Drosophila melanogaster: one gene and its partners. The protein of the gene in region 1 interacts with the protein of each later gene in a pairwise test. Each region holds a gene or a part of one and is shown on either strand. Other genes may lie near its edges.

Region 1 (10,481 bases):
CTGAATGCCTCAAGGGAGCACTAAGCACCCATTGGATCTGTAGATCTGTAGTTTGTAGTGCGTAGCTCTAAGTGATCAGTGTTGAGTAACCGAAACTGGGTTGACTCCACATGGAAACTAAAACAGTATTTAAAGCGGAATACATTTTTTGCCTGTATCTGTATCTCAAACTGTATCTGTATCTCTAGCGAATAGTTATTTGATATCCGTGGATCCGGGTATAAGCAGGTTAATCTGCACATTGCGGTTTCCTTGAATCCACATATAACCCCATGACTTAGCATGCTCGGAGTTTAGTTGTTTCTGAGACTTGAACATGATGTTGGTGCTTTTCATTGCTTCGCTGATAGTTTCCTGTGCTCAAGGAGCGCAAGTGTATATGCAGTTCAATGGACAAGGATACTCCTACAACACGGATGGCGATAGATTGGATAGGAGTGTCGTTAAGCCTAGTTTTGGGGCATCTTCTCTGGATTCCTTTGGTCCGCTGAACTTTGTGCATCAATCTCTGAGGACAAGACAGAATCCACTTTCCCGGATTTCCTACAATACACAGGATAACCTAGCAGTGGCAACATCTTCGCTGAGTGCGGGCTACCAATTAGCATCGACCAACCACCTGAAGCACCGGCAAAGCCAGCAAAACTTTGATTTCAGCACCGACCAGATGTCGCATGCCCAGCACACCGATGAGGCGGGAAATGTTTTGGGCAAGTACTCCTACTACGATGAGGCTGGCTACCATGAGCTGAGCTACAAGGCGGGCGCCGGCATCGGATTCGTGGTCATGGGTGGCAATTTGGCCAAGGCCACCACCGCCGCTGAACCGCACTCGGAAATCGAAATCGGAAACGGAATCCAAACAAATGCCTTGACTAGCCTGCAAGAGTTGCATAAATATCGTGGCTACACGTAAATAAAATATATTAGCCAAAACTATTGCTCGTTCTACTTGGGTGTTTTGCGTTATTTACTGGAAGTCTTTGGAGATCTGACAGTGTCACCTGTCGTGTTTGAGACCTACGTGATCGGGGATCTGAACTGTAAACATATGTCAAAGAATGAATGACTTGTAAAACAGAGTTCATTCAAAGAAAAGAGTGCAGCTTTGCTTGGTTATAGAATGCAAGCAATAGTCAAATATTATCGAGAGCTCTGGATTTCATAACTTCTACGCGGCACAAAATTATCTTTGGATCGGAAGACATTATATTAACATTTATAAATAATGGTGAAATTAAAAAAAAAATGTACGTAAAAATAGATGTCCAAAAATGTATGAATTCTTTTTGTAATTGTAAATCTTGGAATATAATATTATGCTAAATAGGACGGTAGAAAGAATATTTTTCTTCATTTTAAAAAGAAACATAACTTGAGTTCCATAAAAGCGGTCATCGCATTAATAGAAAATTTTCTTGCCTGGACATAATTTTTAAACGTTTTACAATAAAAATGTTTGCATAAAGTAGATAAGGGTAAACATTGTCAGTTTCTGATCGTAAATGATTGTAAGAGCTTTAATTGCTTGTGGCGCGTGCTTTGGCACGATACAACTGCGGCGATTTATGCATGTTATAAACCCTAATTGATTTTCCGATCATAAAAATGGTTATATTCGGTCGCACAAAGTCATTTTACAAATGGACAGTGCATCCCAAAGCCAAATTGAGTCAGCTCTGTGGCTTATTTATTTTTGTTTGGGCAATTTCATGTCGGAAAGGGACCAAAATAATACAGCATTTGAAATGTTCGACGCGTGCGCGCACTTGCCAAATAATTTGAATCGAACGGAAAGCCTTGGCGTCCACGGCGTGGCCTAAATAAAATATATTTCTGGCCGCGCGAAGCCAAGAAAAGCCCATAAGCAATAATAATATGCATATTTGCTAAAACAAAAAGTTATTACATGGGCCAGTTTTGACCGAAAGTTTCACTGCCACAATTAAGTTTTAATGTCAAGAGATCTAAGCGAGTGATTTCCCTGAAACAAGTTCCTACGCACTCGAAAACTTTCTTCGCCGAATGCACTAAAAGAACGTACAGAAGAGCACTAAAAAGCTTGCCATAGCTTGACATAGATTCTATTCGGCCGGGTCTAGGGTTTGTATGGCTGAAATGGCCACGTTCTCAGCGTAGAAATCAATGGCTCACCTGGGAAGTAGCCGAGGTGCATAATTGGGTTAGCGTAGCAGCAGAACGGCCTGCATTGAAACCACAAATTACTGGGGCTCCGGCTCTCCCAGGTGCCAGTTAGCTGTTTCTGTTTATTTTCCCCCTCATAAACAACGGTTTGGGCTGGGATTCTCCTCCTCGCCGAAGGTCAGACTTAATTGGCCCGGGCCTAGGCAACGACATCCCACTAGCAGTCCCGTTTCGCCTGCATTTATAAATAGGCCCCAAGGTCTCTGGGTCTTGGGTCTTCGGTCTTCGGTCTTCGGTCTTCAACTTCTCGACTCGCTCTTCGGCTGCTTGGATTTCAGTTGGGGTTCGATTTATCGCCTTTTGATTGCTGCATTCCAATTGTGGATCAAGTGGTGCGTGTGGCGCATTCGGGGCTTACAACGTGTTGCTGCTAATTTCGTATGCTCCCTTCGGCTCTGCGCACTCGAAACCATAAATCTTGTGGCAATTTTATTGATGCCTGCGTGTGCCACAAAGGTCGACCCCCCGTTCGATGCTGCTTAATCAAGGAATATGCATTATTTCACAGCGCAGTCAGTAGCTGGCTGCTCGGGGCATAAAAGCCAATAAAAGAATAAATTGCAGTTGTATCACAGCAAAGTTAATCACAAAATTAATGGTTCTGGGCTAATAAAGACTGGTCTGCAATGAAAACAAATGACTTAAGGCACGAACCTGAAATCAATTTCTCTGATTTCAGACATTTGTTATTCATGATTATCGATCAAAAACGGTCCGAAGCTAAGTCTTAATCCTGACATCTGTTGATACCCGAGAAGTGTGTGAAGTCTTCACGCCGAAGTGCTTGTCAAATCAAAAAAAAAAAAAAAGAACATGACTCTTGAGTCACTATGTGCGAAACTTTCTAACGAGTTCCAGGCAAACATTTTAATTGAATTGCCCGGCAACGAATCGATTCTTTCATCACGGTAAGTCTCTTACCATTTTGGCTTATGTCATGTTCTGGGCCCGTTCCGAGCTGATTACCTTTCCACTTCCCACACGCATTTCGCTTCTATTCTCGTGGCTCACTCCACTTGTAATGGCCAGTCACTTCGCTCCTGTCCAGTCACACTCAATCAAGCCAATAAACGGCCAATTAATCAAAGTCAGCGCTGTGATTCTGTGTTCTTGCTAGGTGCGAGTTTGCGAAACAGTAGACTGAAGAAGCGACTGTCAGCACATTTAATCAAATGCTTGAGAAATATCTGACAATATGTTAGGCAAACTATTTGCCTAACCCAAGGGATCGGGGAAGATTTCGATCTGCGAAATCCTAGAGTTGTAAGCCTGCATATCAATTGGTGTTGTGTACCCTGGAGCTGGTAACCAAATCCCACAGATCCACGCCCCCAGATAAAAGCCAGGCCAAGGCGCTCGACTACGTGCCCGAATCGCGGTCTTCTCTTCGACTCTCTCTTCTGCCCAAAACCCAGTTCTCTTACACCTGATCGGGCCCTGTTTTCTTGGCCATTTCTTTCGCTTCGTCGTTTGCATCGCTAATGGAAATGTTATAAACAGACGCGCTGGGCCCGGCCAGCACTCAGTTCATCTTCAGACGTCGCCTGGCTCGCTGGCTCTTGGTTCTTGGTAGGAGTTCCATTTCCAGACCCTATTTATTGTGCGTGACAAAAAAAAAGAAAGAAAAACAACGGAACCTGAAACAATCGTAAATTGAAAGCTCAGCAGGATTGGTTTTATAGTGCTTTTAGTGTGTGTGATTTTGCCGCGTGATAACCCAGAGTGCCACTCATTCCCGTTCTCGTTTGCAGTTCAAGGATATATTGTCAAGGCGAGGATTGGTCAACGCCACGAACACCAAGCATTTATTGAAAAATCTGAAACTATTCACCAGAACCTCGCGTTAAAATGCGCTTTCTTGTTGTAAGTCAAATCGCATAAAAAAGAAAATTAAATACCATGAATGACTTAACTTCACATTTTGGGAATACAAAACGAAACTAGTTTATACCTGACCGCAATTAATCATTTATTGCTCTGTGCTGCCGCTGAACTCATTAACTCGTCAACTGGCCCAAGTTCGTGCCTTAAGTCTTTTGTTTCTTTCACTTCTGAATCGACACTAACTTTCACTAAGCGACTTTTTTGATTCTTGGCTTGGTTCTTTCCTTTTTTTGATCGCCTTAATTAGCCTTAATTATGCTCTGTGCCATATGCAAATATTAATAAGAGTGCCTAAAATCTTTTTGGGGTTTATAATAATCACAAATCAATTTGGACGCAAAGAACTATATTGGGGAAACTTTTTTTTATATGAATGCAAAAGGTTAAGACTTCTTTGTGCCAGTTATTGTTCACTTAGTAAAGGTTTTTCAAAAGAGTTAATTCTTTCTGAAAAGTGAAACCCTTTTGTCCATTCCATTTGAACGTGACAATATTCTAGCCCCACCCCAATTTAAAAAGTGAGAATTAATCATTCATACCTAGGAAGTATTGTTCCTTGCATTATTCATATTCCCATTATGAAAAGCATGCCCTTAAAAGTCAAAACTCTACAGCGACTCCCATAAGCAACAATGCCATTCAATTATAACCACAACCAATACAACCACTTGGGTTGAAAAGCCCAAAAAATAATTATGACTCAAAGAACATAAAATTAATATGCCGCAAACGTATAAAAATCATGCGTGGGCTAACAAATGGTAATATAAGTCTTCTTTTCCCCCTCCCAACTATCAAACAATCGGTCACATTTGTGTGGGGTTCTTAACTATAAGTGCACTGGTTTGTTTTCGAGTTTGTGATCGTTTCGATAGTGGTTCATAAATTAATCAATTTATGAGTGTAGACAGTTAGCCACACGTCCCAAGTCCATCAATCCCTGCTCAATTAGCTGCATTGGAATGGCTCTGGAATATCATTTAAGACCAAAAGACACCTGATCGGATGTGAAGATCAGGAGACAGACTCATTTATAACTTGTTTGAGAACATAAAATGCTGCGCTTAAACTTTGCATTCGAGCCATTAACCCAGTTTATTTTTGGACAAGACACACCTGATATGGGGTCGAATCGGCATCGTTATGTGAGGGCAATATAATAAATAAGGCGAAATACACAAAAGAAAGCAGACAGAAATACATCTTACTGCTTGGGGATGCAAGAGTTCTTGCAAATCAATGGCAACCAGGTTCGACAGCCTCTGCGCCAGAATCTCTTCTCTCGAGTTACGTTTCGGCACCGAAATCGTAACAGCCGCCTAGAGGTTCAGGTCAATGACACAACACGAGCCTCGACTTCGAATCCAGCTTTGGTTTTGGCTTTTGGTCTCAGTTCCTCTCGGCTTTGTGACATTTCGGCGCTGATAGATAGGCGTGCGGGCTGGTCGTTTCCACCGGCTAACGGTTGCGTCAATATTGACTTTGCCAAAGATGTGGAGAGCCGGCGAGAGTGAGTCAAATATTTGCCGATCGTGAGGTTCTTGACAATCGTATTCGAGGGAAAATCCGTCAAGTACATAAGCCGTTCCTTGCCACCTGGCTCTCACTTTTCGGCGTAGCTTTCAGCAGCGAAAGAAATTATGCAAATGTGCTGGAGGAGCAGGGAGAGAGAGACTTTCGCGACTTTCGGGACTTGACCGCATTCCACACGTGTGAATTTTGTATCCATTACGACATCAGAATACAGACACCCTATCTAACCGGCATAAATCATAGATCTCATTCATCTATTGTCACACATTTGTCTTTCAGCTCTCAACACTGCTTCTGGCCTCTTTGGCACTTGGCCAGGCTCAACAGCACGGTGGACTGGCCGTCGAGTAAGTAGACTAGTAGCTAGTTACCCAGCCCTAAGACCCCAAATAACCATGAAATGCCTTGCCTGCCAAATGTGACTGTGTCAACGCTAATGCTCATTCCAAGTAGAAGTTGATGCGCTTGCCTAGAACTATGTGACTAAACCGAAAAAAGCCCAGACTTGTGACTAACCCTCAAAACTCATTTCCCTCCACCCAACAACACATTACCCTGCATTAGCAACTAGAAGCTAACTCCACCAACAGATAGAGACCACCAAACAAACCCCACCTTTCGTTTGCAGAATTCAGAAGCAGCGGCTGGTCAAATTTCCCGAGGACTTTGAGCCCAATGCGGCCACTCCGTCCTCGGAAAAGGCGGACGAGGCCAAGCGCATCCTCGAGCAGATAGCCAAGGTTAACGAGGCCTTTGGCTACGTGAAGAAGCAGCCGGAGCAGCCCAAGCTGCCACCGATCCTTGATTCCAGTCAATACCTGTTCCCCAAGCCCGCCCATCAGCCATTTCACGCCCATCAGCACCACTTCTCGGGAAGTAATGGTCAGACCTTGTTAGAACCCTCAATTAGGGCGGTGAAACTCACAAGAAATGTGGCGGGCAGTTACAATGTGCCTCCCAGGTTGCGCCAGGCAATTGAGAGCACCTCCAAGGAGGAGAAGAAAGCGCAACTCTACTTCCGACCCAAACAGGTGGAGGTACCGAAGCCGAGTTCCGAACAAGAAGCACAGCAGCTGCCCGCCCACTTTGTGGTGCCCGTGCACCTGTACAAACTCAATAAGGAGGAGTATCTCAAGGAGCACGCCTCGCAGGAATACAAGATAAAGGGATACAAAATCATTGGCGATGTGGACAGCTTCTATGGCAAGGCGAAGGCTGGAAGAAAACAGGGCAAGACGACGCCCAAGTATCACCTGTTCTTCCTGCCCCGAGAACTGGCTCTCAATGAAGATGGCACCCCAAAAAGGGGTAATTCCACCACCATTGGTACGACCACCACAAAGGCTCCAGTGCCTGTGAACTTCAAGGAATATCGTTTGGACTCCCGCGAGAAGCCCGTGCATAAGCCACAGAAGATTCAGCCCACTTCGTCACCGGAATTAAATTCTTTGAACAGAAAGAAGGTTGGTTCCACAGCGAAACCCGTTCGCTTGAGTGGAAAGGATGCTGAACAGCAAATCTACCAGGGATCCACATCCCTTAATATCAAGGCTACATCTGCGCCTGTCCTGTTGAGTTCTACTTTACCACCATCTGGTGGCTTGCTGCCCAATCGGAATCGCTTAAGTCCATTCCGCATGCCCGGAATGAATATAGCTGAGATGCAGAATCAGACCTCGACTGCCATCAAGAATGCCTTTCAAAACATTTTCAAGCTCCCCTTCCGACCTCCAATGGCGGCCACAGCTGGAGAAGGTCCTGTGGTTGTTGGCAATGTTCCTGTGAAGAATCACTCAATCGATTCGATGGATTATAAATGGGAGGATGAAAACGAGGGCGCCGGCGATGGGATGGCCGATGATGTGGATACCATTGAGAACACAGCCGCGGAACTGGACAACAGTGCCTCCTCAGAGAAGCACTTGTTTGCTCACAAGGGCCATCACCTGATGCACACTGTGAGCCAGGTGGCCACCGCTCAGGAAAGCACCCAAAAGCAGGCATTGCGCGAAGGAGGAATCATCATTCAGCGGCTAAAGGTTCGCAGGGGCGGCATCGCTATCGCAGGACCCGGGGGCGTGGCCACGGCGGGCAGCGGAGGAACGGCGATTGTTGGTCCCGGTGGCTATGCTCTCACCCATCCACGGAGTCTCACCATCGCCGGTCCCGGGGCCAAGGTGATCTCCATACCGGCAGATGTGGACCTTAAAGATGCCCTGGCACGCACCGATCTGGAGACGAGAAGTTTTCCGCGAGAGGGAAAGATAGTGGCTACAGGACCAACGGTCTACTATGCTCCACCCACGGGCACAACAACCATGGAGGCGGATCAGGGGGCGGGGCTGGAGACGGGCCAGTTCGAGTCCTAATCCAGTTCGAGGCTTAAACCTAATAGCTATTATTTAGCACATTTAGTTAGGATCCATAGTTGGTATTGTCTAGTGTTCTAATAAATATTTGTATTTCGTAATTGTTTGGGCTTTTGCTTTCATCTTGTACATAGTAGTTTTAGATATCACACTTATTCCGCATGATATTAACCCGACACAGTTTAACCCCTCGAATTATTGCTGTAAATAATATACGACTAACCGGCGGTTCTCTTCACCATTTTCCTCTATCCCACTCTTCCTAAACCAAAAACTATCCTAACTCAAGTGCCTACTGGCGCACAACCAATATCGAGGCCTGGCCACCAGGAGCACCCGTCGCAGAGAAGTCCGGAAAACTCATTGCAGGATCTGCTCCGGCCCAGGACCTCACGCCCTATGGAGCCTATCAACCCGTGCTGTTCAGTGCCCCATACTACGCCGCCTACAATCTGCCCCTGGCCTATGTGGTGCAACCCACCATCGCCAGTGCCGATCAAGCCACCATAGCCAGTGCAACAACCACAACGACCACTACCACAACTGGCCGACCCGAAAGCTTAGCTGATGACAGCTCCAGCGAGTTGGAGAAACCAGAAAAGCTACAGGCTCTGCCTGCAGTGAAGACCCGAACCACTGGGGATCTGAAGAGTGATGTGGGTCTCCGCTCAGCGGTCAGCAAAATAAACCCCGAGTATGTGATCGAAGAGATCGTTCCGGTGCCGGGCAAGCTAGTGATCTCCACTTCTGGGTCACCCCGCTCCGCCAAGCAGCAGTTGAAGAAGGCGATTGCCCCACAAAAAATGAGAAAGCAGGCGGGTGGAAGAGTTCCCTTGAAGGTTGAGGCCACCGGAAAGACCAGCACGAGTTCCGGCAACTTTCCGCAGATCCCATTTGGAAACTACTTCCTGCCCTATAGACCGGAGCAGGCTCAGGCGATCCAGGGACGCAAGCAGGCTGCACTCATCCTGGAACCTCATTCCAAAGCGGTGGTTGGTAATGGTGGCACTGCCATATCCACGCCCATTTCCAAGGCGTATCTGAAGAAGGGTGTACCCACCAACGTTTACTTCAATCCGGAATCTGTGGCCATAGCAGGTGTGGGTGGCAAGGCGCATGCTACGGCGGATTTGGAATTGGATCTGTTCACGTAAAGGAGCAAGGATTTAACTTAAAGCTCACTTTCATTAACTGATTACTTGGCATTATTTTGAAAGTCAATTGACACAGTACGCAAAACACGCAAAGACAATTTTCCTATGAAATCAGTTGCTGAAAATGGGCTCTATGTAGTAGGTTACCCAACAGAATCTAATTGGTAGTTCCTCCTCCCAACTGACCTATGTTCCTATGTTAAGAACATAGGCCTATCTGATGTGTCATTTCTTAGATTGTAAATAAAGTAAACCGTAAACTGTACAGCTTTCGCCTTGGGTCATATAGTAGTCCGCTAATCCCATGTAGATACTTCTACGCTTCTCTTAATCCCCGCTTTCTCCAGGCAACTCCCAAACACAACCAACACACACACTCTCTATAACCAAATCTAACCCCGAAAAGCAGACACAGATCGAGGTCGGCTCCGCTGGTCTTCGAGGAGCATCCTTACTACGGAGGATTGAGGGGTCAGCTTCTCCAGCTGCGTCCGCAGCGGGACGGCAGTGTGGGCAGCTTCATCCTGCAGCGCCAACAGCCGCAGTTGAGGGCTGTACCTAGAGACTCCGATGACACCATCACCATTTCGGCCGCAAGCATCTCGGCGGTAGCTGATGCTAGTGGAGCTTCTAGCTCCAGCAGCTCGATCTCAGCCAGCGCCAGTGATTTCAATCGGATTCAGTCGGCCGCCGCTCGGTTGGTTGCCATTCAGGAGTTGGCCAAGCGCAAGGGTTCCTTCAGTGAGGAGGACAACAAGATCTATGCCAGCAGCTTACTGGAACTGGGCCAGGCTGCCCAGAGTTTGGCCATGCTCCAGCAAAGCGGACAGATTAAGGACTTTAGTGTTCTGCTGCAGCCGGACATGTTTGGCAATCCTCAAAAGCAGCCAGCCAATTTCGGGCTAGAGGCCACCAACAATCCGGCGGACCAGAAGATCGACGAACAGAAACTGGACGAGGTCACTGAGCAACAATTCTCGCCGGATGAGCAGTTCCTGCCCCCCAACAACGAGGATCCCTATGAGGATGTTAACGATAGTGTGTCCGTAATGGCTCCTAAGAAAGATGCCGCCGTGGCTGAGGCAAAACCAGTGGGTAAGTTCTCTGAAGGAGAGGCTTCTCTTAATTTACTTCTATTAAACCCTCCAATCACCTTTTAGGTCTTTCGATTGCCGGTGAAGGTGGCGTGGCCTCCTCAAAACCGAACGCTGTGGCTCTCTCCGGCCGGAATGGATTGGCCGTAGCTTCGCCCAAGGCCACAGCCATTGCTGGAGTTTCTCCCGAGGAGGCAGCTGCCTTCAGCATTTCATTGCCCACTCGCAATCAACTGGTGATC
Region 2 (6,895 bases), on another chromosome or scaffold:
CTTTAGTTTTGCGACAGTTTTCTTATCAGAGCAAATAGATGGCATTGCGTCAATTCCGGAGGTGGGGCTATCCGAGCCTATCCTATCCGATCTTTGGGTGCACTCCCAGCCCAACTGGAGTGATCTAATTTGTCGTGTTGTCATTGTGTCAGAAGTGGAGATATGGCCATATAGGCATATATATGTATATAGATACATATGTGCGAACGTTATCGGGCTTATCGGCTGGAAACTTAATTTCAGCTAATTTTAGCCAACAATTTGGCTCACGTACCCGTGGAGGTTGCAGGAGGAGCACCGACATTTCTATATACATTTGTATCTGCTATCTTGCTTGTTTGGGGGAAAATTTGTCGGGTATTTTCGGTGGGTCATTCGCTGCAACGGTTTCTTAGTCGTCCGCTCATTTTTGGCACAGTTTGCGTCCGCATCTTGTTCATTTTTTTTTTTTTTTTGCCTGCCTTCCGACTAATTAATTCAGAGCCACGAAACGGGAGATTCAGAGCTGTTCCATAGTTCTATGCGACGCATAGAATACACATACAAACTCCAAGTTCTTACTGCGTCGCGTTGTGAAAGTCGTCGCCCGAAACATCTTTGGGTTTAATTGTTTGGCTTTTGATATTTTCGACAGTCGTCGCTTTTCTAATTGATTTTTCTCACCAGACGCCGTACTCTCCGGTCATTGAACGCATTATAGAGCGATCTCTATCTCCATCTTCCCATCGGTATCTGTATCTGTATCTGTATTTGTACCTTTAGCTGTATCTGTATCCGTATCTCTGGCCCAGCTTCAATGTCTATTTATACGCGAGTCTAGTTCCTGACTCCAAGCCCGATCCATTTGGCTGGCAGTTGGACCAACAGTCATTTGGCTCTCTTTGTTTGTTGTCATCCCGTTCCGACGACCCCAAGTCACTTATCAAATCTCTGACCTGCTTTCCGCCGGCTGCTGATTGAAAATTGTCACGCGTAAATTGATTTTAATGCGGCGATCCGCTTAAGACAATAAGAGTGCACTACGTGAAAGGGTAGTTTTCCGATCCGTACTACAAGTATACTCGTATCAAAAACCATCGATCCAATCGCTTTACACGCTTTCCACGCATCTAAGCTGAGCCTAACTTTGTGCACATAATGCTACCCCAAAGATCACTTAATAAACCACAATTAAAATTAATCTTTAGCTAACCAAAATCGTATTGAGACTTGGTTTTTTACATTTCACTATCAAGCCATTCGAACTTATCAAGCAATTTAAATTCATTTACATATCGATATTTTTAAATCATCATATTTTTGGGCTTTGAACCAGAACCCTGAACCCTCATATGTGTGTGCTGATATCATTATCAAAAATGCTGTAATTTAATATGCGGGTATGTTCCAGTATGTTATCATAATAAAGCCTTTATTTTTTCTTCGAAATATGTACATATTTACATTGGCTACTTTTCCGCTGGCCCGCTGGTATTATGTTTATAAAGCACTAAAGCGGCAACAAATTGCTTTCCGTGAATCTGCCCGAACGTAATGCAAGTGGGCGATGCAATGGCGTGCCTATTCCCCTGGCCGACTTGAGGTTGCCTGACACGGAAACAAGTCGAATTGAATGTAATATAACCATCGAAAGCGAAAGCACCGCTTAAATCTGACTCATAGATGGCGCCGTCAAGAGTACTTGGCCCCGCATTGAGTACATACAATACATTTCGCTATCGATGGGCCAAAGCGGATGATCCATTCGCCTTGGCGAAACGATTCGGACTTGGAATACATGATTAAGATATATACTTCCGTCTGAAAGTTGCTTATAGTTCCCCTCTTCGCTTGCTTATAATCCTCTTCCCCCTTGCTCTTTCGCAGATGCCGCTGGCCACGTCGCTGGAGAAGGACTCGATTCGCGAGGCCTACGAGGATGTACGCTCCGATCTGACAGACACCGAGTGGGCGGTATTCAAGTTCGATGGCGCCCAGATTATTGTACATGCGCGCGGTCAGTGCTTTGAGGAATTCCGACAGCAGTTCGGCGACTCGGAGCGCGCCTTTGGCTACATACGCATCCAGATGGGTGACGAGATGTCCAAGCGCAAAAAGTTCATCTTCCTGACGTGGATCGGGCAGGAGGTGGGCGTCATCCAGAGGGCCAAGATGTCCACGGACAAGGCGCTGATCAAGGATGTCCTCAACGTGAGTAGCCAATAGCTAGAGATGCCAGAGCCCAGAGGCAGAAATAGATCCTCTCATCTCTAATCTCTTGCAGAATTTTGCCGTGGAACTTCAGGCGGGAGTGGAGGCCGAGCTGGACATTGAGCTCTTCCGTGAAGCACTGAACCGTGCCGGCGGCGCCAACTACGGAACGGGCATCCGGGATAACTAAGCGGCCTCCAAGTTACTTTACATATACATTTTTTTTTGCAACTCTTAACTGCTTACCAAACTGCTCCTTTCTCTTTAATTATTATGAATTAATTTTATGAAATTTAAAAACTGTACATTTTATGAAATATTATACAAGCAATTGTAACATTACTGGGTCCTCTTATTTATCGTATAATCATAATCCATAGTGTCATTCAAAAAAGGTAAAAGAAAAGTTTTCAATACCAAATTTCAAGAGCGGATGCAAAATCATTATCAATGCCATACATTTAATTGTGTATATAGTGGGACTGATGAATTACTTTGATGATAAGACAAAAATTTTAGCCACCTAATACTGAATACTGAAGTGGACAGATATGCCAGAATTTGCATTAGAAAATTCAAGTTTCTATAGTAAAGAAATGTTCTCGTTTAAACTAGTCTGGTTTTCTGAACATACGCTGGATGGATCGATTCGAATTTAATAAGCGCGAAATGAAAATGGACTACGTTGTTGAACTAAATACTACGGAGATGATGAAAATGATGAGAAAAATTATCTAGTTGCTTTAGTTCCCGGGCTCTGCCTCTCGCTTCCTAGCGGACCCTGAAGAGTACCGAGTGAAGTGCATCGATGTCCACCTCCACGCCAGACGAGTTTGTGGTCACGGTGCGAGAGCTACGGCCGAGAACGTTGAACAATACTGCTTGGTATCTTTAAAGCATATCACTCACCTGGCTTTGTGCACCGAGCGACGGGAGGAGTGCGGATTAACCAGCACACAGTGCATGGGCTGGTCATCGAACTGACGATGGTGATAGGTATCTACGGCCTTCTCGGCATGTTCCAGTGACTTGTAAATAACTTCGGCGGTGCCGGGACGCACCACACGAGCGTCGTACACTGGGCCGATGTCGCTAAAAAGCTCGCGAATATCCGCAGTAGTCACGTTAGTATGCAGATTGCTCACCAGCAGGCGGTATCCATCCTTTGTGTTCGACGTACGCAGCGACAATGGGGATGGCGAACGGCGCTTGTTCTTCGATGGAGCAGCTGCATCACCATCACTATCAGTACCGCTATCGCTATCCCTAGCACCACCGCCACCAACAGCCTTTCTCCGGTTCTCGTTGGCGTAGATGCCATGAGAAATGTGAGGATCCCTCTTACCGACAAACAGACGAGACCGCAGCGATTCTGGGAGTTTACTTGTGCTTGCTGTGTCGCGGTGGCGGCGCTCGAGAGGCTCCTTGGTGGTATTTGAGCGTCCAACTACGAGTCGGTTGGTCAGCGAAGGACGCTCAATGCGATTGCGGGCCGCCTCGTAAATGGAGAATGCATTGTTATCTATTTTGTTATTTAGTGGGGCCATGGACATCTCCACGTCGTCGCCGCGGTTCAGGTCGAGCCCACCAATTGAGTAGCGTGGCGACGCTTGCTTCATTTGCCCTAAGTGCAGTGTGCGAGATATTTCCTCTGAAAGTAGAAGAGTGCTTTTTAGGAACGGCTTGGCAGAGAAAGGCACTAACTAACCATCCTCGAGGTCCTGCATATTATCAAGATCAATATAGCGTCGTGGAGCAAAGGGTTTGCCCGGCTTATGGGATCTGGGGTCAAAGGTTCGACGCAAGCCGGACAACATGTGGTTACCCAGTTCAACGACCCCGTCGTCCGAGTCCCATTTCGCCTGAATGGTGCCGTCCGCATGGTTTGACATGCTAAGGCGGTGACCAAACTGACCGATGTGCACTCCCTTTCCGCGTGCGCGATGTGATGGCTCAAACGACTCTTCTTCGTCATCAATAAGTATTGGGCCCGCCGAACGGGCCTTCTTTCGCTCCAGCAACAGCTGGCGGGCATCGATGCCCGAGTCGCGCACGCTCTTGTTGATCAGATCCCGGGCATCGGCTATCTTGGCCCGTGTCTTCGCGGCGATCGTGTTTCTGGCATCGAAGGTGCGCTTTGCCGGCGTATCAGAGTGAGATCCTCGGGCACCCGATGGCTTGAAAAAAGGCTTGTTCAGCAGCTGGCGCGGCTTGGAGAAGTTCGCATTGCTGCAATGGAAAACGCATTGAGTGACATTCTATTTTTTCGGCTGTCCTGTAAATGTACTTACAACTTTCTGTCGAGGGGACGATAGCCGCGTTGCCCGCGCTTCCGCTCTATAATCTCGTCCAGACTCAAATCGATGTCCATGGCTCACAGTATACGCTTTTCACACCTTTTCCTAAGCTATGTGTGAAGTAAAAACAACCAGATTCAAATTATCCTGACTATTCGAACTACGTTCGTAAAAAAAAAATAGGACTGGCGTTTCACTGGTGACACTTGGGGTGGCAAACTATCGTCCAGCACTATCGATAGCAACTATCGCTTAAAAACATCTATGTTATTCTGGATATAAAATGTAAAAAAGAAACAGCAATATACTAACACTTATACAAATATACGATTAATACTATTAAACTACTTGTTCATTTACAAAAACAATTTTTGCATGTCTTAACATTAGTTTGTAGAAGATTGAAAATTCTCAGAACTGTCAATGATATATTAAGCTACATAATACGTTTTATCCACTGACATTACGAGTCACTAATTCACAGTGTGCCCCTTCGCACAACCGAGAACAATCGCGCTTAGGTGCTAGCCGACGTCTGGTCTGGTAACACTGATACCTGCGCAACAACAAAAACAACACCACATACTAAAACAAAAACCTCCGTGTGCTCTTCAGTCCTTGAACGCTCACCGGGACTGCCATTGTATGACTTCGATGAACAGAATTTGGCTTCACACTCTCTTCCTTCAGTGTAGGCCATGAGTGCGCCTCTTTTCACCCTTTAGTCGCTTTTTACGACAAGCCGGGAACGCTCAGGTAGTATTCTTCACTCGCCACCACACAGGACACCTGTTCGGGTTTAGCCACCTTCTCTGTTGGCCATCTCGTCTGATCGGACACGTTTAATCATTTTAATGATTAGACTGTGTCCCAGCTCCCATGCCTCGCTCTTTGCCAATATAGCTGCGAACAAGCCACTAGGGCTGAACGGAGCACCTGACTTCGTCTTTAGCTGCTCCCTCTCCATCGCAAACCTGGAGCAGTGCATTAGCACATGCTCTTCTGTTTTCTCACAAATGACGCAGAACAATCGACGTAGATAGGCCCGAATGCAGCCATGGTCCGTGTGAAACTGGGTTAGGTGGTAGTCCAAGCATTTGTGTTGGCACTCTGCCCAAACCGCCGACTCAGGAATGAGCTGGTAAGACCACCTGTTCTGCCACTCACCCAACAGCCACTCGTCGGTAAGCGCCACCCCGCTTTAGGCCGAGAGCCTTGATCTCCGATCAATTGGCGGCCTGCCAGAGTTAGTGCCGCGTCTTCACATATTGTCCTGAATCCTCTAATGAGCCTGAGGGCCATGGCTCCTTTCAGGTATGAACCCCTGCTTGTAGCATTGCTACAGATTGGTGCAGCGTACAGCAGCGAAGCCAGTTTCCTGGCCAGATAGCTTGGACCACCGATGTTGGGCACCAGTCTAGCCAATGAAGAAACTGTGACTGATGCATTCTTGCTGCCGTAACTCGCGTGGTTCTATCATAGCACCCAGGTACTTGAGGGACTCTTGGGAGGTCACCTGTGTCGCATTGACAGAGGACTAGCATATTCTCCACCTTTTTCCTGCTGCTTAGTACTTACTGCTTCGGTCTTGCGAGCCGCTATTGCTAGCCCGGCTTTCCAGTGGACGGCAGCTCCAATCGTGGTGTTACATTTGTCCTGCAACTCTGCAATTGTTTTGGCGACTGCTGTAATTGCCGCATCGTCTGCAAAACAGTGCAGCTCTACTCCCAAGGGCCTGTTGATGCTCCTCTACTATCGTATCCTCGTCCAGTCCACTGCAGGATAGTGCTATTCTTTGAGCTGCCGCACAGATGCCAAATCATTGACCGTCGCCTCTAGATCGCTTTTATACTTGGGAAAGCTTCCCGAGGCTTTTCCCACTACTTCGAGCAACAGCTCATCTAGCTGAGTTCTCCGAATTCTTCTGCCCAGTTCGCTAAGGCTCGGGTCCGATCTTAGTTTCCGGAGCATCTCTGCGTACCAAGCCTCACCCGTCTTCTTCACGATCCGTGCCTCAGGCTTTTTACGCGGGCGCATAGGCTTCACCTTGGTCCAATATGCACTCGTGCTAGCATTCTTGGCGACAGATGCGTAGCTGCCTGTATTGGACTCGTTTGATCTGGATGTCGCCTTCCCTTCTCCTCTACCAGTCGTGCGGTTTGAGCGCCAGAACTTTGGGCACTTGTCCCTTGGACACCTGCGCATTGTGAGAAGCGTTTTTGGTAGGCTTTTGTACTTTAGTCTGGGTAGCAATGCTCGTCAAGCGGTGCTCGCTAGTGACCCCTTCGTACAACTCTATCATCTTGTTAAGGGCTGAATGTTCAGAAACTAGGCTCTTGGTCTCTCTTGTGACGGTTATGTCGGTTAAGTCTCAAATGCGGATAGCAGCAAGTTTATCTTGCCATTCA
Region 3 (7,132 bases), on another chromosome or scaffold:
CTTTTAGGTTTCAAAAAACGTTTCTATTTTATTATTTTTACATTGCACAACAAGTTCTGAGTTTAAACAATAGCTTTTCGATGGCAATTGCAAAAAATAAAAATTTTGAAATAACTTACCTCCTGTATTGTGTTTTCGGGCTTTTTAGTTGACATATTGAGGAAACGCTCCTGCGATTGACAAAATTTCTCCGTCTTTTTATCAAATTTCTTTTTGTTTTCTTTGACGCCACCGATTTGCTTTTTTCGAAAATCCTCCAGTGACTCAATAATATGTTTATCGGCGAGCGTTAGCTAGTTGGTAATTGTTAATAGATTGTTCAGATTCTCACTAATTTGGAAACCAATATTATATGACCCGATCAGACAAGCCAACTTACCATTTTTTCGCGCTCATCTTCAATATTGCCAATTATAGCACCAAATCGCTTGAGACTTTCACAAATGACATTCTCATCGTCGGTCTGAGCAGTGCCAATGCACTCAAAGTTAAAATCGTTAAGTAAAATGGCCAATTGTTTCATTCGAGTGGACAGGACTGAAAAAGTATTTAAATGCAATTTGACAAACCATTGAAATAAATATGAAAGCAAAAGGGAAAACATCAAACATAACATAAATCTCATTAGAACTAGACGTCTTTGCCTCACTTCCCACCACATAAATACAGCACAGATATACGAAAAAAAAAAAACATGTATAAAACGAGGCCCTTTTTGGCGAGTAAAAGAAACCCTGATGCTGATGCTGATCCTGATCCTGATCCTGATCCTGATCCTGATCCTGTTCCTGACCCCGAACCTTTGCAACCTAAGTAAGCTAATAAATTCCCAATGTCCATATGTCCATTTCATCAATGTTAGGACACGCGAAAGGCTTTGCTACTTGGAACAGACATTTCTGAACTTTGCAAATAGTATACGAACACTGAAGGAAGATCCAACGGAGTCCGAGATTGTCGAAATAGACCACGAAGTGCCGCCAGAGGAATACCTGGTGCCTTACATCCAGAACTACGAGTGTGCGGATATAATAGTCACTGTTCACGATCGCGTCTTCCTTTGCCACAATATCATACTAAGTATTTACTCAAGGCGAATGCTGAAAATATTGCAGGAAGATGTTGACCATATTGTCTTTAAGTCGAATGATTTGAGCCCGAAAGGATTCAGCGACGCATATCTATGGATGATTTCCAGTGATGGCGAGGTTAATCCGTGCGATATGGGCGAAATTTTGAGGGCCGCATACTTCCTGGACATTCCCGAGCTGCTCGAGGCCTGTTGGGCGAACCTGGATAGGATAACATTCTTTGAGATCTCTGCGTTTCGCCTATTGTTCGAATTACGAGGCGCCACCAACTTGTGGGATGTATTCGATAAGCTGACTGGGCGCATTTCCATTTCAATTTTGCCAGTCGCATCGACTCGGGAATTCCTGTGCCTCAGCGAAACACAAATTTGCTACATACTCAAGTCCAACTTTCTGGCAATCAATTCGGAAATGGAGGCAAGTTCTATATCTATAGTATAGTAGAAGTATAACCATGATATATGAATACACAGCTTTTATATTCCGCCTTAATGTGGCTAGCGCATCTTTGGCCGCAGCGACGTTCGAGCACCTATAGGGTTTTAAGTCAAATTCGCTTCAGCTTCCTGCCGCCCCTCATGCTAAAGAAGTTCAGGAGTGAGGAACTCCATAAGATGCCCGAATTTAGTGACATTCTAAAGGAGTTTAGCAAGTCGCCCGATGTCATCACACTTCTGCGGGACTCGGTGTTTAACAGCAGTTTGCTCTTAACCGTGCGCAACAATCCGAGTGTACTCGATACGCATGTGGAGTTCACGGAGGTGGAGCTAATGGAGCCACGCCATTGGGTACAGGATCATACCTGTGACTACCATCGGAAGGTGACACAGCTGTGTCCAAATATGCGTTTCATAACGCTAAACGAATATCAAGAGTACCTAAAACGCCTGTCGATTGGACCCGAATTCAATACGTGTTTCAAGCATACCAGGGATCGGGAATCAGAAGGACAAGAAGATATGTGGAAGCATATGTGAATAGGCATTATTTATAAATCATTTTTTGTATACTTTAATAAACAGACACACGTTTTACGCCCTCCGGTAAATGGATTGTACTACTTACTCTTTGCCGCACTCATAAGATCTTTGACCTCTTTGATAATTCGTTTTATTTGATGACTAGTGTGGTCCAGTTCCTTTTCATGTCGATTTAAATTTTCGCGAAAGTCCGGACTGTCGACGATGCATTCTTCGAACTCCAGAGGCTCCAAGCCGCGGCGTACATTTTTGCCGCCGCCCATGATGTTTGCGTTTGCTTTTAATAATATTGAATTTGAATATTTGCTGTGATTTTCAGTTTAAGTTTCAGTTTTATTTAGGTTCTTTCGATGTTGCTTTCCACAGAGCTAAGTGCATTCGCAGTGACTGATATATTGTGATATATTGTGTAGATTTGTCGGTTGAGTTTCGAGAAAACTGCGGTGTTTGCAACATTTACAGCTGGAATTGCGCTCCTTTTATATATTTACTATTCAATGCAAATACTGTTTATCAGTTGGTGGATTATGCATATTGGTAATCCTTCCTGCAAAGACAACTGATATAAGATATCTTTTTAAACAACAAGTAGAGTTAATTGCGCAAAACTTGCATTGCGGCTGAGCGGCCAAGAATACGCTAAGTTACTTTGAGAAAATATTTTGTTCTAGCATGAAGAAACATGATTCACTCGATTCTTATCAACTCTGTATTAAAGAACTTGCATTCTCTCTTTTAGAGAACCCATTGCTTTGTGTGGTTTAAAAACGATATTTTGAGTACATCGCAATCACCGGAATATGAATTTATAGCCTAAATTGACCAATAATTAGCAAGTGAAGTCCATTATGTATTATATTTATTCGTTTTGATCGCGCAGAGCTCTGGCAATTGTGATTTTGATTTAAGGTCGGTTCCCCACATTCGATAAACTTTAAACTGTGAAATTCCGAAAATAAGAGCAGATCCGAAAAGCAAACTGATGAGATTATATAAAAAGATAAATTGAAACACAGTGCCACGATAAAAAGTGGGCAGTCAACGACTAACTTTCATCAAGAACGGACTATTGTTAATTTCTTATCGTCTGTGTACCGAGCAAGACCCACACTCTAGTAAATTTCTTATCTTTTGCAAACATATACATATGTACAAGCGTTTACCAAAAACAAGTTTAAATACACTTGCGAACACTTTCCTATTACAGTGAAACCAGCCACAGGCTGATAAGTCGTCGCCATTACATAAATGCAAAACCGACTTTGCAATTGAAAATCATGTTCAATAAAAATTGCGAAAGTCAGCCACTTGGAAAATACACTTTGAATGCCATTTATTTATGGGTGTATTTAAATCATAAAGTTGCTTACAGACGCCTGTTTACTACATTGTCATTGTTGTATATGTTTTTCTTATCAGATCTTAAGATAGATAGGCGCAGGCACGGAGAATTCTCAGAAATAATCGCCTAATCAATATATATTTTAAACAAATTTTAGTGGATTCCAGGCCCAAGTTATCAAGGAAACAATGACGCAGATAAATGTATATACACCCTAACTAAAACAATTCACAAAACATATCCCCTTTACGCAATAATAGTCTTTCCATTCAAATTCGCAAAGTACTTTTATCCGGCTCATAGGACCATTGATTACTGATAACCAGTTAATCACCTGTTTTCACTTTCTTTGACTACAACAACTTTAAAAATCCTTGATAACTTTATAAGCCTAAGAGATAGTTATATATATGAAAATGTTAGGCATTGAAATAATGCAATATATATGTATTTATTTAAAGCCGAGTTCAGATAGTGCAATTCAAGATCATGGGAAATTTTGTTGGCGAGTTTCCACTGATGGAATGCGCAACGAGTAAAAACACAGCTGTTGCTATGTATTTTCGCTAGATATACCTTAATACCTGTTGAATACGAACTTATGGTGGATTTTTGGGGCTTAAAAAACAGTTAAACATTCCGTTTTAAATTATCTTATCGGTTTTTTTTTACAGTTAAGCCCGCTTAAAATTGTTGCATGAAGCTAGGTATGTACAGGCATACTTGCATACTTGCATACATACAGATGTGCACCGCCTGTATTTGTATGTTGTGTACATTTGTTATTTAAAAATAACTTTAGTTTATGTTCGCTTACTGATAAATAACTCATATGCGCACTTTACAACACTATGTGCATAAGAATGTGTTGAAGGGAGGGGTGGGCGAGAGTTTTTATCGTTTCCTCTTTTTTTTTGCATAAACTTGTTAAATTTCGATGTACATATGTAAACATTCGATCTTAAAACAGGTTGCGAGGCCACTAACACCATAATTTCGATATCGGACATACCCCTGGGATGAAATTCAACTGCAGCACCAAATCCTTTGTTTATTTCGCATGCATGTAGTTGTTTAAAAAACTAAATAATATATATATATCAGCATACATATACGTAGATACACACCAGCACACATACATACGCAATGCAATGGAATCACAAATAAATAAATAAATCAAATCCTTATAAACGAATCGTCGAGGGGCTCATGTTTAGACGCTTTTCATATGACTTTAGCCCATTGGAATTCACTTATACAAAAATAAATGCTCTTAGTTACGAAAGGCAACCGTCGGTAGTTTTTCGCGTACCGCAACCGCACACACATTTGTGCCCGTGTTAAAATTACTCACAGAGTAAACATTAGTGTATGAGTAATTTCCCAATATCTAATGTTGCTCTGATCGAAGAACGCAAATTGGCCGTGTCGTGTCGCGCGTTTCGCATCAATTACGCGATATTATTCAGCATCAATTGCATATTTCGTTTCATTGTATTCTAAATGCACCACAATATATATATATTACTTTGACTGTTAAATCTCCGATTAGAAAAAAAAATTAATGTAGGTCTGATAAAAATACACAAGTTATCTGAACGTGCTGTTAAGTATATTAACTGTGCTGTTAAGCGCATCAAATACCCTGTCTCCACCGCGACACTAACATTTGCAGGAGTGTCCATAAGCTTTTGCCGTGCCATCTACTTCTCATGCGTTCCAACAACCACCTGTTACTTACTTGTTCGCATTTCAACGCATTACTCTCTCCCATTCTCTAACTTTAATTGACAGAAATGATTGGGAAACAAAATGAAAGCGCTAAAACTTCTTTGATAGATATCAAATGTTTATTAAGCGTCTAAAGTTTGCAGCATGCATAGCTTAGCACGAATTGTGAATCATCTATTTTGTCAATGAACAACATTGCGCGTCGTTACATAGAGAGGGGTGAATTCATTACCAAAATGTATTACAAATGTTACAAATTTATTAAAAACTACAATTTCTGATTTACATAGTTGCGATAATAATCACATCATGTTTCCACTACTCCAATTATAAGAGCATGTGGAATCGAAATTGACCAGAAATAATCGATGGTCAAGCAGCCGTGCCCCAAATATCGCTGATATCGATACTGTGGCCGATGTTTTGACAGCTCTTTTGGTTATTCTGCACCGGCTCGCTTTTATGCTTTGTTAAATTATATTATATAAGTATGATGCGGAGCGTTATTAATCAATTACTGGGTCTCCGGTGGGTACACTTATCGTTGCTATAGTGGCCATTTAGTAAATTCTGGTTTCTCCATTCAGGCTCAGTGGAAATAGCAGTGTTTTGGTTACGCAGGTGCGCGATAAGGGCCATTTGAGCAGACCTCGACTGCGGAATCCCCAATGGTTTCTGCGCAAGGAAATTACAGTATGTGACATATATCTTTTTATCTATAAACAAACTACTCATTTGCGTTTTATTGCAACAGAAATACAACGATTTGATGACGGCGGAGAACAAGCAGTTCGTCAACGAAGTGGGCACCAATAACTTTGGCGTTCCGGCAGTTATTAAGGATAGTTTGGTCAAGACCGCGGGCCCAACCGCCAATGAGGCTGTGTGGACTCCGAATTTGCGAAGATGCGGCGTTATAGCGCGCAAAATTGGCCAGTACCCGCTGTGGCTAAAGAATGGCGAGCGGATTCGCACCACGCTGCTGCAAATCGTCGACAATCATGTCATTAAATACATTCCCCCGGAAGAGTATTTACCTGCCCAAGTTCCCACGGTAGCCAACCTGCACAAGCGCGGCTGCATTCTCGTTGGCTCCGAGACCACGAACCCAGCTCTGTTGACCAAAGAGTACGCGGGCATATTCCGCAACTCGGGTGTGCTCCCCAAGAAGAACCTGGCCCGATTCATCGTCTCTCCAGAAGCCCAACTGGCGCCAGGCACTCCACTAAATGTCAACCACTTTCGCGTTGGTGACTTCGTCGATGTTCGCGGCAAAACGTAAGTACATACGTCTAAGCGCTGGTTATACGTACTCTACTTATATTTTGCAGAGTTGACCATGGCTTCCAAGGTGTTGTCAAGCGACACGGATTTAAGGGCATGCCAGCATCGCACGGTGTGACGAAAACTCATCGACGTGCCGGCAACATTGGCGGTGGTGGCGAGAAGGGTCGCGTCTGGCCAGGCACAAAGATGCCGGGACACATGGGAAACCGGTGGCGCATCATCAAGGGTCTGCGCGTGTGGCGCATTAACACCAAATATAATGTTATGTGGGTGCAAGGGAGCTCGGTGGCCGGCCCCACCGGCGGTCTGGTCTACATATACGATACCATCTTGCCAACGCGAAAGAATAAGGAAGCCCCACCGTTCCCAACGTTTTACGGCGAGCCGCAGCAAGATGGGGATGATGTGTGGTACGAACAGGTGCACAACTTCAAAAGCGAGTCAATAACGTATGAAAACGAATAACTTTAGTGCTTAAGGTATTATAGAAACCTAATTGTTTGTTTTGAAATAAAAGAAATAACTAATTTTATATATGCAGAGTAGTTTTAAAAGTTGGTTGTAACTTATTTAAGAGGTTTTATTCAAACCTAAATCGAATAAGACCTCAGATGGTTAGGTTTCTTATTTGTTTCATTATATTCATATAGGAATTTTAATGAGCTTCTTTTTAAGGGGAAGCTCATTTAAAATAAAACCTA

The links. The genes of interacting proteins can lie anywhere in the genome.
Region 2: the proteins of CG11905 (region 1) and CG18259 interact in a two-hybrid assay, tested with the Drosophila melanogaster proteins (one large-scale study listed by BioGRID).
Region 3: the proteins of CG11905 (region 1) and Graf interact in a two-hybrid assay, tested with the Drosophila melanogaster proteins (one large-scale study listed by BioGRID).

The regions. Positions count from the first base shown.
Region 1 is NT_037436.4:16,928,781-16,939,261, reverse strand, and holds CG11905 (uncharacterized protein), read left to right. Parts: upstream 1-3,725; 5' UTR 3,726-3,774; exon of another isoform or gene 3,775-3,956; 5' UTR 3,957-4,053; coding exon 4,054-4,068; intron 4,069-5,901; coding exon 5,902-5,969; intron 5,970-6,250; coding exon 6,251-7,991; 3' UTR 7,992-8,090; downstream 8,091-10,481. Other genes in the region: Cpr73D (cuticular protein 73D), read left to right, coding at 1-24; CG13022 (uncharacterized protein), read left to right, coding at 320-916.
Region 2 is NC_004354.4:18,778,815-18,785,709, forward strand, and holds CG18259 (uncharacterized protein), read right to left. Parts: upstream 4,681-6,895; 5' UTR 4,562-4,680; coding exon 4,482-4,561; intron 4,420-4,481; coding exon 3,899-4,419; intron 3,842-3,898; coding exon 3,100-3,841; intron 3,044-3,099; coding exon 2,962-3,043; 3' UTR 2,451-2,961; downstream 1-2,450. Other genes in the region: CG6891 (uncharacterized protein), read left to right, coding at 1,867-2,190, 2,264-2,380.
Region 3 is NC_004354.4:15,755,700-15,762,831, forward strand, and holds the start of Graf (GTPase regulator associated with FAK), read right to left. Parts: upstream 4,951-7,132; 5' UTR 4,541-4,950; intron 4,496-4,540; exon of another isoform or gene 4,426-4,495; intron 2,619-4,425; 5' UTR 2,335-2,618; coding exon 2,157-2,334; intron 2,069-2,156; coding exon of another isoform or gene 1,610-2,068; intron 1,527-1,609; coding exon of another isoform or gene 695-1,526; exon of another isoform or gene 619-694; intron 538-618; coding exon 380-537; intron 294-379; coding exon 120-293; intron 1-119. Other genes in the region: CG8260 (uncharacterized protein), read left to right, coding at 738-1,526, 1,610-2,068; mRpL3 (mitochondrial ribosomal protein L3), read left to right, coding at 5,635-5,672, 5,732-5,837, 5,899-6,422, 6,476-6,896. UniProt on the Drosophila melanogaster protein: GTPase-activating protein for Rho family proteins. Essential component of the CLIC (clathrin-independent carrier)/GEEC (GPI-anchored protein-enriched early endocytic compartment) endocytic pathway.